2 linked regions of the Coturnix japonica genome follow. The protein of the gene in region 2 purifies or fractionates together with the protein of the main gene of each other region. This does not show direct contact. Links are inferred from orthologs where the notes say so. Each region holds a gene or a part of one and is shown on either strand. Other genes may lie near its edges.

Region 1 (3,803 bases), on a different chromosome or scaffold from region 2:
GTTGCTATAGCAGCTGCCCTCCAAAGCTGCCCTTCACGCCATCCCTGCAGAGAAAGGTGGAGGGTTTGTGCTTTGGGAGAGGATTTGCATCTACAGCAAAAGATTTTGTTGCTGCAGCTGAATCATGGATGGTGACTGACGACTGAAAGGCTGGGAAGTACGGCACATGCAGTGAGAGCATGGCTGGATTTGCTGCTCACTTCTGCTTGCTGTTTGTTAGTTAGACTGCAATAAATGTAATGACTTACTTGTCAATACTTCTCAAAATAAGAGAAAAGGACAACTCTCTAGTTTTGAAGTGGTATCTTCTATCCTGGCACAGCACTGACAGTGAGAAGACGCGCAGTTGCATGTGTGCCTCTGGTAGAAAGGATACAGAATGGGGTGCCTGTTGTTTCACCTCACTTTATTCTTAGTAATACACCAAAGCCTACACAGCTGAAGTTAGTGAGGAAATGTTCTCCAGCTCTTATCAGGCAGTTAGTGAGAGTGCTGAGATGTGACTTACTGCTAGAGGGTCTTCTGTAGGCAGGCACTGCTGAACCGCAGCCACTGTGAGCAATGGGGCAGTGAGAGAGGTTGCAGTTCCGGTTGTTGGCAGACGCACACGTAATGACGGACGGTCGGTTCTAATGGGGAGAGAAAAGGCAGCCTTCAATCAGTCTGAATGCCATTCACATCCTACTGCATGGACAGCAAAGTCAAAAGGTAAATAAAGAAAAGGGGTTATTTATTTGCATTTTTCTGTAAGCAGTTCACATGTGGCACTTCTTAATTTTTTTAACTTCCTTAAGGGCAAACATTATGTGCATCTGTGGAGCAGTGCAAGGAATGTGTGCATGCTTCTTTAGACATGCAAGATATGAGAAGCAGAGAGAAGTAGTAGGAGAGCTGGTCTCAGGAATGTGTTCACCACTGCCAAAAACAAGAGGCGTCGCACAGATCCCGCTGGCATGATGCTGCCTGTGCAGGTGCACCGAGCAGACTGTGCCAATGTATATAAAAAACACTGGGATGAGGAGATGAGAATGTAAAAACAGCAGCTACTGCAACTGAATACCTGCACACCACCTAAAACAAAAGCTATTGTATTCTCCTCTCTGTCAGCAACATACAGTAAGATAAAATCCCATTCAATGTGCAACATGAAAAATAAATTGTGCTTTCATTCAATACGCTGTTTTTCCTTTGTACCATTTCTACTCTGCGATCTTAGCCACTTCTTACCTCAACATCCTATTTCCTCAAGAAAGAAGACTGCAATGTAGCTCAAAGTTATCAAAGATGATAAAATAGAAGGGAATCTGCTGATGGGTAATAGGAATCAGCCCAAGCCAAATGCTATAATAGAAGAGTGTCAGCGCTGTTAGCTGCCAAGCTGAGAAGCAGCAGTCATGCTATCAAAGGGCAGCAGTGGCGTCATTGGCAGCCTGTCCCTTCCTCCTCTGTCATCACTGAACGCTGAGGGCAAAGAAAAGCTGTTCTGCACAGAACGATAACTGTGTGAGCTGTGCTGAATGATGCAAGAGACTGACACTGGTGTAGAGCCAGGCATCTTGGCGTGGCAAAACGTAGACCAGTGTATGTAGCCAACTGTGGTAAAAATGTACACAGCAGGTAAAGCACACGCTCCAGGGGAAAAAAAGCTTTCAACAAATTGCATATAAAAAATCTGAGCCTCGGAGAGATCATCCATTCCAAGTGTTTACCCTTTGCAGTGCATCACTGGAGGGGCAAAAGGAAGGAAGGAAGGAAGAGCTTGGGTATACAGGCCAGTCTTAAGTTCTCAACACTGCAGTTCATCATAGTCCAAGCACTCACTGATTGCCAGTGGGAGCACATATAAATGCCCTCTACGTATGCACTGCATCAGTTACTGCCTGACAGGTACCAGAGCCTCACTTAGCTGCAGCAACACCGACTCTGTATTCCCAATTCAAACACGTGTTCACAAGCTTAGCAAAGCGTCAGAAGAAGCAGCATGGCTAAGAAGTCTGACAGATGCATCTGAACACCAGGAATTTAATTCACATTAAATACACTGCTCAGTGTGCTTAATTCATGCGTTTTTTAAAATACAATTTGCCTAAAGAATGGTATCGCCAACCTACTGTAACTCACAATATGTTCTGCTTATGTCTGGGAAGTCCTCACTGTGTCTACAGCAAGGATTTCTACAGCCCCCCACTTCCTTGTCGACCCAGAAGCCAATACCTGCTGCCGTTCCACAGAAGTCAGTGTAGGTGTGATGCCAACTGTTCGGGTTGCATCCATACTGTTTTTGGTCAGTGCGAGAGGTTGATCCATGGTCAGACTTGGGATTGAGGCATACATGTGATTGGCATGAAGGCTCATGGTTGGGGCAGCAGCCCTCTCTATCGGGCTGCGACTCCTCTCTCTGTGCTCCTTTCGATAATCTCCATTGGCAGTCTTGTTTCTAATAGAAGAAAAAGAAAAAAAGTTGAAGAACTTACTGGTTTTTAGAAGCTACAGTGAGATACGCTACATTCAATCCCTTTAAGAAATGTGAGGTGGTGCATTTTGCTTGGGAGGGGTACAGCATCCCTTGGTGAGGTACCCTGCTCTATCCAGCCACCTCCCAACAAAGGCAAGAAAATGATTCACACCTGCAAACTCTGGCAACCAACATTGATTTTCAGAACTCTTCAGAATTTCTGGAATGTCTTAAGAAGCTTTTCTAAATGCACTGAGTTAAAGTAACAACTGATAATAACTGGTCTCTGTTATGATCAGACACCTCCTTATTTGTTATACTATAAATGGGACTCTGCCCCCTGACACTGCAATATTCCCTAAGCACTGCTGAAGCCCAAAAATATATATAGCCAAAGGACAGGGGATGGTAACAGCAAAATTCAGTGATTCAGAGCAGGAAGCACAATTTTCAGAGCAGAAAATGAAAGAGAAGCAAACTACACATCTCAGAACCATTTAATTACCATGAATCTTCAAAAGAATGATTTCAAATCACTGCTGAACAGCAGCTCTCAGCGGACACGCTCACACAATCAAGTTTTCATTCACTGCAACTAAAGCAATGCTGATTTTGTACTCATGTATGAGATATTTCACTTTACACCACACTTGGTGTATGGGCAGTACTCACATCTTCATTACAGGAAGGCAGTGAAGCAAGCAAAGGAGCTTCACCCACACGTCACTCCCAGCCACCTGCCAACCACTGGCTCACAGTGAGCTGCACCACCAATTATTCTTGCTTCTCTCAACTATTTTTTCTCCAGGGAACTACTTAATTTTCCTCAGAACTCTTCCCATACCTGTGGTCCCTCTACACAAGAACCAGGAAAGCCATCACATGCTCAGAATGAGGGTTTAGATCTCTCCTGTATTCAGGAACAGAACCTTTGCTGGATAATTCCATCTTTAGCCCAATAGAAGGGAACAGCCAAGGGACAAATCGTACTATTTCTTAACTGTTCAGATCCCTGCCCTGCTGGAAAGCACGTATCCCTTCTAATTAATTACAAAGTAGTAGTTGTAGATGATTGAAATCAACCACAAAGCCTAACCTGTATGGTTCCACAGCCAGTGCTCAAGATGACCTCTGAAAACCAAGTGTTTCTTGAATACTCCTTTACAGGCCGGATTTAGATCTGACAAAGCAGCCACACACCACCAGGAAATACATTCTCCCAGTGTTACATCTCGGTCCCATGCCAGCTCTGCTACCATTTCAGCTCACAACCTACTCCACAGATTGGCATTCAGAAGGAAGCAAGTTTAGGATTGCACTGCTCTGAGCCAGTGACATGCAAATGTGT
Region 2 (4,399 bases):
TAAGGGCCCTTTCGCAGGGTTCGGGGCGGCGGGGCCCCGGTGCCGGCGAGGCCCTACGAGGTGCCCGGCCCCAGCTCCGCGCGGCGAGGGAAAACGGCGCCGCTCCGGCCACCTCCGCGTTCTCAGCGGGCCCGAGCTGTTCCCGCAGCTCCGCTCCGCTTCTCGTGCGAAGATCGGCACGGGGCGGGACGAGGGCAGGACGGGGGGCCGACCTCGCGTGAGCTGCGGCGAGCGGAGGTGACCCGCTCGGTCAGGGGGAGGCGTGCGGGAGCTCAGCCCGGCGGCTGCCGGGAGCGCGTCCTGCCCGTGTGCGGGGGCTGCGGGCTGCGGGCTCACAGCTCCGTGTGGATCAACGCGTTACAGCTCAGCTCCTCGGGGAGCCGGATCCGCGCCGCCAGCCCCGTGTGCGCGTCTCGTGAAGCTTCTCCTTTAACACAGCTCCCCTCACACACGTTTCAAATTCGTTTGCCAGCTTCGTATATTATAACCGGACGCATATAAACCGCTTTAGATAACTAAAAATGGAAATGAGACGCAGTGGCGATACGAAAGGAATTATTTAAAGGAACAACTTTTCGTCACGTGAGCCGTGGAACGTTATTAGCCGGGCACGAGGCAGCTTTGTGCTCGGGTCTCAGGCGCCAGTCAGCGGCCGCGCGTACGGGAGCGTGCGCTCGCACGCATCGCTGTCCGGCCCCGGCGCAGCCCCACAAATCCCGCAGCGCAGCGCAGCGCGTTGCCGCGCCCCCAGCGCGGTTCGGGGGCAGCTCCGCGGCCGCCCGGCGCGGCGGTGGCTCCCGGGTCGCGCTGACGCGGCGGGGGCGCCGTGCCCCTCGCGAGCCGCGGGCCGCGCCCGTGACGCAACCGCGCTCCCGGCACGAGCGGCGCCGCTTCGCGCGACTCCGGCGTCCGCCGCGCCGCTCCGCCCACGGAGCTCGGCGGGGAAGGGCCGGCCCCGTTTGTGTTTCGCTTTCCCCCCGCCGTTAACGTTCCGCTTCTTCGCGTGGAGCGGAGTCGATGCGAGCGCTCTGCCCGGTGGCGGCGTTACGCGAGCATCGGCGGCCGGTTAAAGGGGCAAACGGCCGCGCGTTTCGACGGCGCGGGGGCAATCCTCGTCCTCCCCGCGTGAGCATCTCGGCGGTCCCTCGCCCGCCGCCCCGCCTTACACGGCACCGCGGGGTCGCACACGCGGCGCCGCCGGGGCACGCGGGACCCCTCCGGCAGAGCGCCGGGCGCCGGCGGCCTCACGCCCGGCAAACGAGAGTGAACCGAGAAGGCGCGGCCCCGGAGCGGCGCGCACGCACGCGGCCGCGGCGCGGAGAGGCGCTCCCCGCCGCCGTACCCCGCGGCCGGGCAGGGCGCCGGGCATGCGTGCTACGCGCAACAAGTGGATGCGCGGCGCGGGCGGAGGAAGGCGGCGGGGGAGCGGGGCGCGGAGCCGGGTCGTGACGCGGGGCCCCGCCCGGGCGAGCCGCCCCGCCCCGCGCCGAGCCGGGCAGGGCTGAGCCATGCTGGGCTGAGCCATGCTGAGCGGAGCCGGGCGCGCGGAGGAGGGGCGGCGCGGGGGGAGCGCGGCGCGGCGCGGAGGAGGGGGCGCGCGGGCACGGCGGCGGCGGCGCGCGGTAGCGCGCTCGGACTGCGAGACGGCGGCGAGGATGTGAGTGAGGAGCAGGCGGCGCCGCTCGCCACGCTGCTGCCGCTCCGCCGCCGCTCGAGGAAGTCGCGGCGCTCCGCCCGGGTGCCTCTCGTCGGCGGGACGGATCGGATCGGTTCGGCTCGGATCGGCGCGTAGGGAACGGAGCGCGAGCTCGGCGGGCGGCCGCGGCGGGTGGAAGGTGACCCCCTCCCCCCCCCCCCCCCCCCCCCCCCCCCCCCCCCCCCCCCCCGTCTTCCTCCGAGCACCTCCGCCTCCTCCCGGAGGAGGAGCAGCGCCGGAGAGGCAGAGAGCGCCGGGAAACAGACGCGGCGAGAAGGCGACCCCCGCCCAGCCCCCCGCGGCAGCGGCAGACGCCGATCCCCTCCCCGCCGGGGCAGCAGCGCCGGGAGCGGGCGGCGGCGGCCGTCCCCGGCTAACAGCGGGCGAGCCTCGGCCGCGAGCGGCGCCCGGAGCGGGTACGGACGCTCTTTCCAGCTCCGGCCCGCGGGGGAAGAGCGAGGCGGCCCCGACAGCGGCGGCGTCGGCTCCCCGGCCAGCGGCACCATGTCCGCCGCGCAGGTGTCGTCGTCCCGGCGGCAGTCGTGCTACCTGTGCGACCTGCCCCGCATGCCCTGGGCCATGATTTGGGACTTCACGGAGCCCGTCTGCCGCGGCTGCGTCAACTACGAGGGAGCCGACCGTATCGAGTTCGTTATAGAGACGGCGCGGCAGCTGAAGCGGGCGCACGGCTGCTTCCAGGACGGCCGTTCCCCGGGCCCCCCGCCGCCCGTCGGCGTCAAAGCGGTGCCGCTCTCGGCCAAGGAGGCGGCGGCGGCGGCCGCGGCGGCCCAGCAGCAGCTCAACCATGTGGACGCGTCCTCCAAGGCGGCTTCGGGGCTCTCCCAGTCGGGCCTGGAACGCTACGGGCTGAGCGCGGCGGCGGCCGAGCAGCGCGGCCGCTTCGAGTACCCGCCTCCTCCGGGCAGCCTGGGCGGCGGCCACGGCGCCCGCCTGCCCAACGGGCTCGGGGGGCCCAACGGCTTCCCCAAGGCGCCCGAGGACGGCCCGCCGGAGCTCAACCGCCAGAGCCCCAACTCGTCGTCGTCGTCGTCCTCCTCCCGCCGCGGCGCGCACGGCGGGCTGGTGTCCGGCCTGCCCCCGGGGGCGGCGGGCGCGCAGCTCAACGTTCCCCCCAACCTGCTGCCGCAGACCCTGCTCAACGGGCCCGCCGCCTCCGGCGTGGCGCTGCCTCCGCCGCACGGGGGCCTGAGCGGCCGCGGCGGCGGCGGCCCCCAGGCGCCCTCCGCCTCCTCCCAGGCGGGTGCGTGCGGCGGCGGCGGCGGCGCCGGGGGAGGCGGCGGCCCGGCCCCGGAGGGCTGCGGCAAGCGGCCGGGCTCGGTGTCCAGCAGCGACCAGGAGCGCGAGCTGAAGGAGAAGCAGCGCAACGCCGAGGCGCTGGCCGAGCTGAGCGAAAGCCTGCGGAACCGGGCCGAGGAGTGGGCCAGCAAGCCCAAGATTGTGCGGGACACGCTGCTGACGCTGGCCGGCTGCACGCCCTACGAGGTGCGCTTCAAGAAGGATCACGCCCTGCTCGGCCGCGTTTTCGCCTTCGACGCCGTCTCCAAACCGGGCATGGACTATGAGCTGAAGCTCTTCATCGAGTACCCCAGCGGCTCCGGCACGGTCTTTTCCAGCGCCTCCGGCGTGGCCAAGCAGATGTACCAGGACTGCATGAAGGACTTCGGCCGCGGCCTCTCCTCGGGCTTCAAGTACCTGGAGTACGAGAAGAAGCACGGCTCCGGCGACTGGCGGTTGCTGGGGGACCTGCTGCCCGAGTCCGTGCGCTTTTTCAAGGAGCTGGTGGGCGCCGACATGCTGCCGCAGCCGTACCTGGACGCCAGCTGCCCCATGCTGCCCACGGCGCTGGTGAGCCTCCCGCGGCCGGGGGCCGGCGCCGGCGGGACTCAGGGCGCGGCCGCAGCCTCCCGGGGCCCGGGCGGCGGCGGCGGCGGCGGGAGCGGGGCCATGCGCAAGAGGAAGGCGTCCCCCGAGCCCTCGGACTCGGCCGAGGGGGCCCTGAAGCTGAGCGACGAGCAGCAGCGGCAGCAGTGGATGGCCAGTCAGAGCGAAGCCCTCAAGCTCACCATGTCGGCCGGGGGCTTCGGGGCGGTGCACGGCGGGGGCCCCCCGCCGCCGCCACCGCCGCCCCTCGGGCCCCACTCCAACAGGACCACGCCGCCCGAGTCCGCCCCCCAGAACGGACAGTCCCCCATGGCCGCGCTCATGTCGGTGGCCGACACGCTGGGCAATGCCCACTCGCCCAAGGACGGCAGCTCGGTGCACTCCACCACTTCTACCCGCAGGAACAGCAGCAGCCCCGTGTCGCCGGCCTCCGTGCCGGGCCAGCGCCGCCTGGCCTCCCGCAACGGGGACATGAACCTGCAAGTGGCCCCTCCTCCCCCCAGCGCCCACCCCGCCATGGACCAAGTGCACCCCCAAAACATTCCGGACTCCCCCATGGCCAACAGCGGGCCCCTGTGCTGCACCATTTGCCACGAACGCTTGGAGGACACCCACTTTGTTCAGTGCCCTTCGGTGCCCAGCCACAAGTTCTGCTTCCCCTGTTCCAGAGAGAGCATCAAGGCCCAGGGGGCGACCGGCGAGGTCTACTGCCCCAGCGGAGAGAAATGTCCCCTCGTAGGTTCCAATGTGCCTTGGGCGTTTATGCAGGGCGAGATCGCTACCATCCTAGCCGGGGACGTT

The links.
Region 1: the proteins of IRF2BPL (region 2) and VGLL4 purify together in Homo sapiens (affinity purification with mass spectrometry; 3 studies listed by BioGRID and IntAct, counting the BioPlex papers as one, with this or other methods). This does not show direct contact. The link is inferred for Coturnix japonica from reciprocal best matches to the Homo sapiens genes IRF2BPL and VGLL4.

What each region holds. Positions count from the first base shown.
Region 1 is NC_029527.1:2,958,042-2,961,844, forward strand, and holds part of VGLL4 (transcription cofactor vestigial-like protein 4), read right to left. Parts: intron 2,438-3,803; coding exon 2,215-2,437; intron 1,169-2,214; exon of another isoform or gene 795-1,168; intron 709-794; exon of another isoform or gene 630-708; coding exon 509-629; intron 1-508. UniProt on the Homo sapiens protein: May act as a specific coactivator for the mammalian TEFs.
Region 2 is NC_029520.1:35,383,953-35,388,351, reverse strand, and holds the start of IRF2BPL (probable E3 ubiquitin-protein ligase IRF2BPL), read left to right. Parts: upstream 1-1,588; 5' UTR 1,589-2,200; coding exon 2,201-4,399. UniProt on the Homo sapiens protein: Probable E3 ubiquitin protein ligase involved in the proteasome-mediated ubiquitin-dependent degradation of target proteins. Through the degradation of CTNNB1, functions downstream of FOXF2 to negatively regulate the Wnt signaling pathway.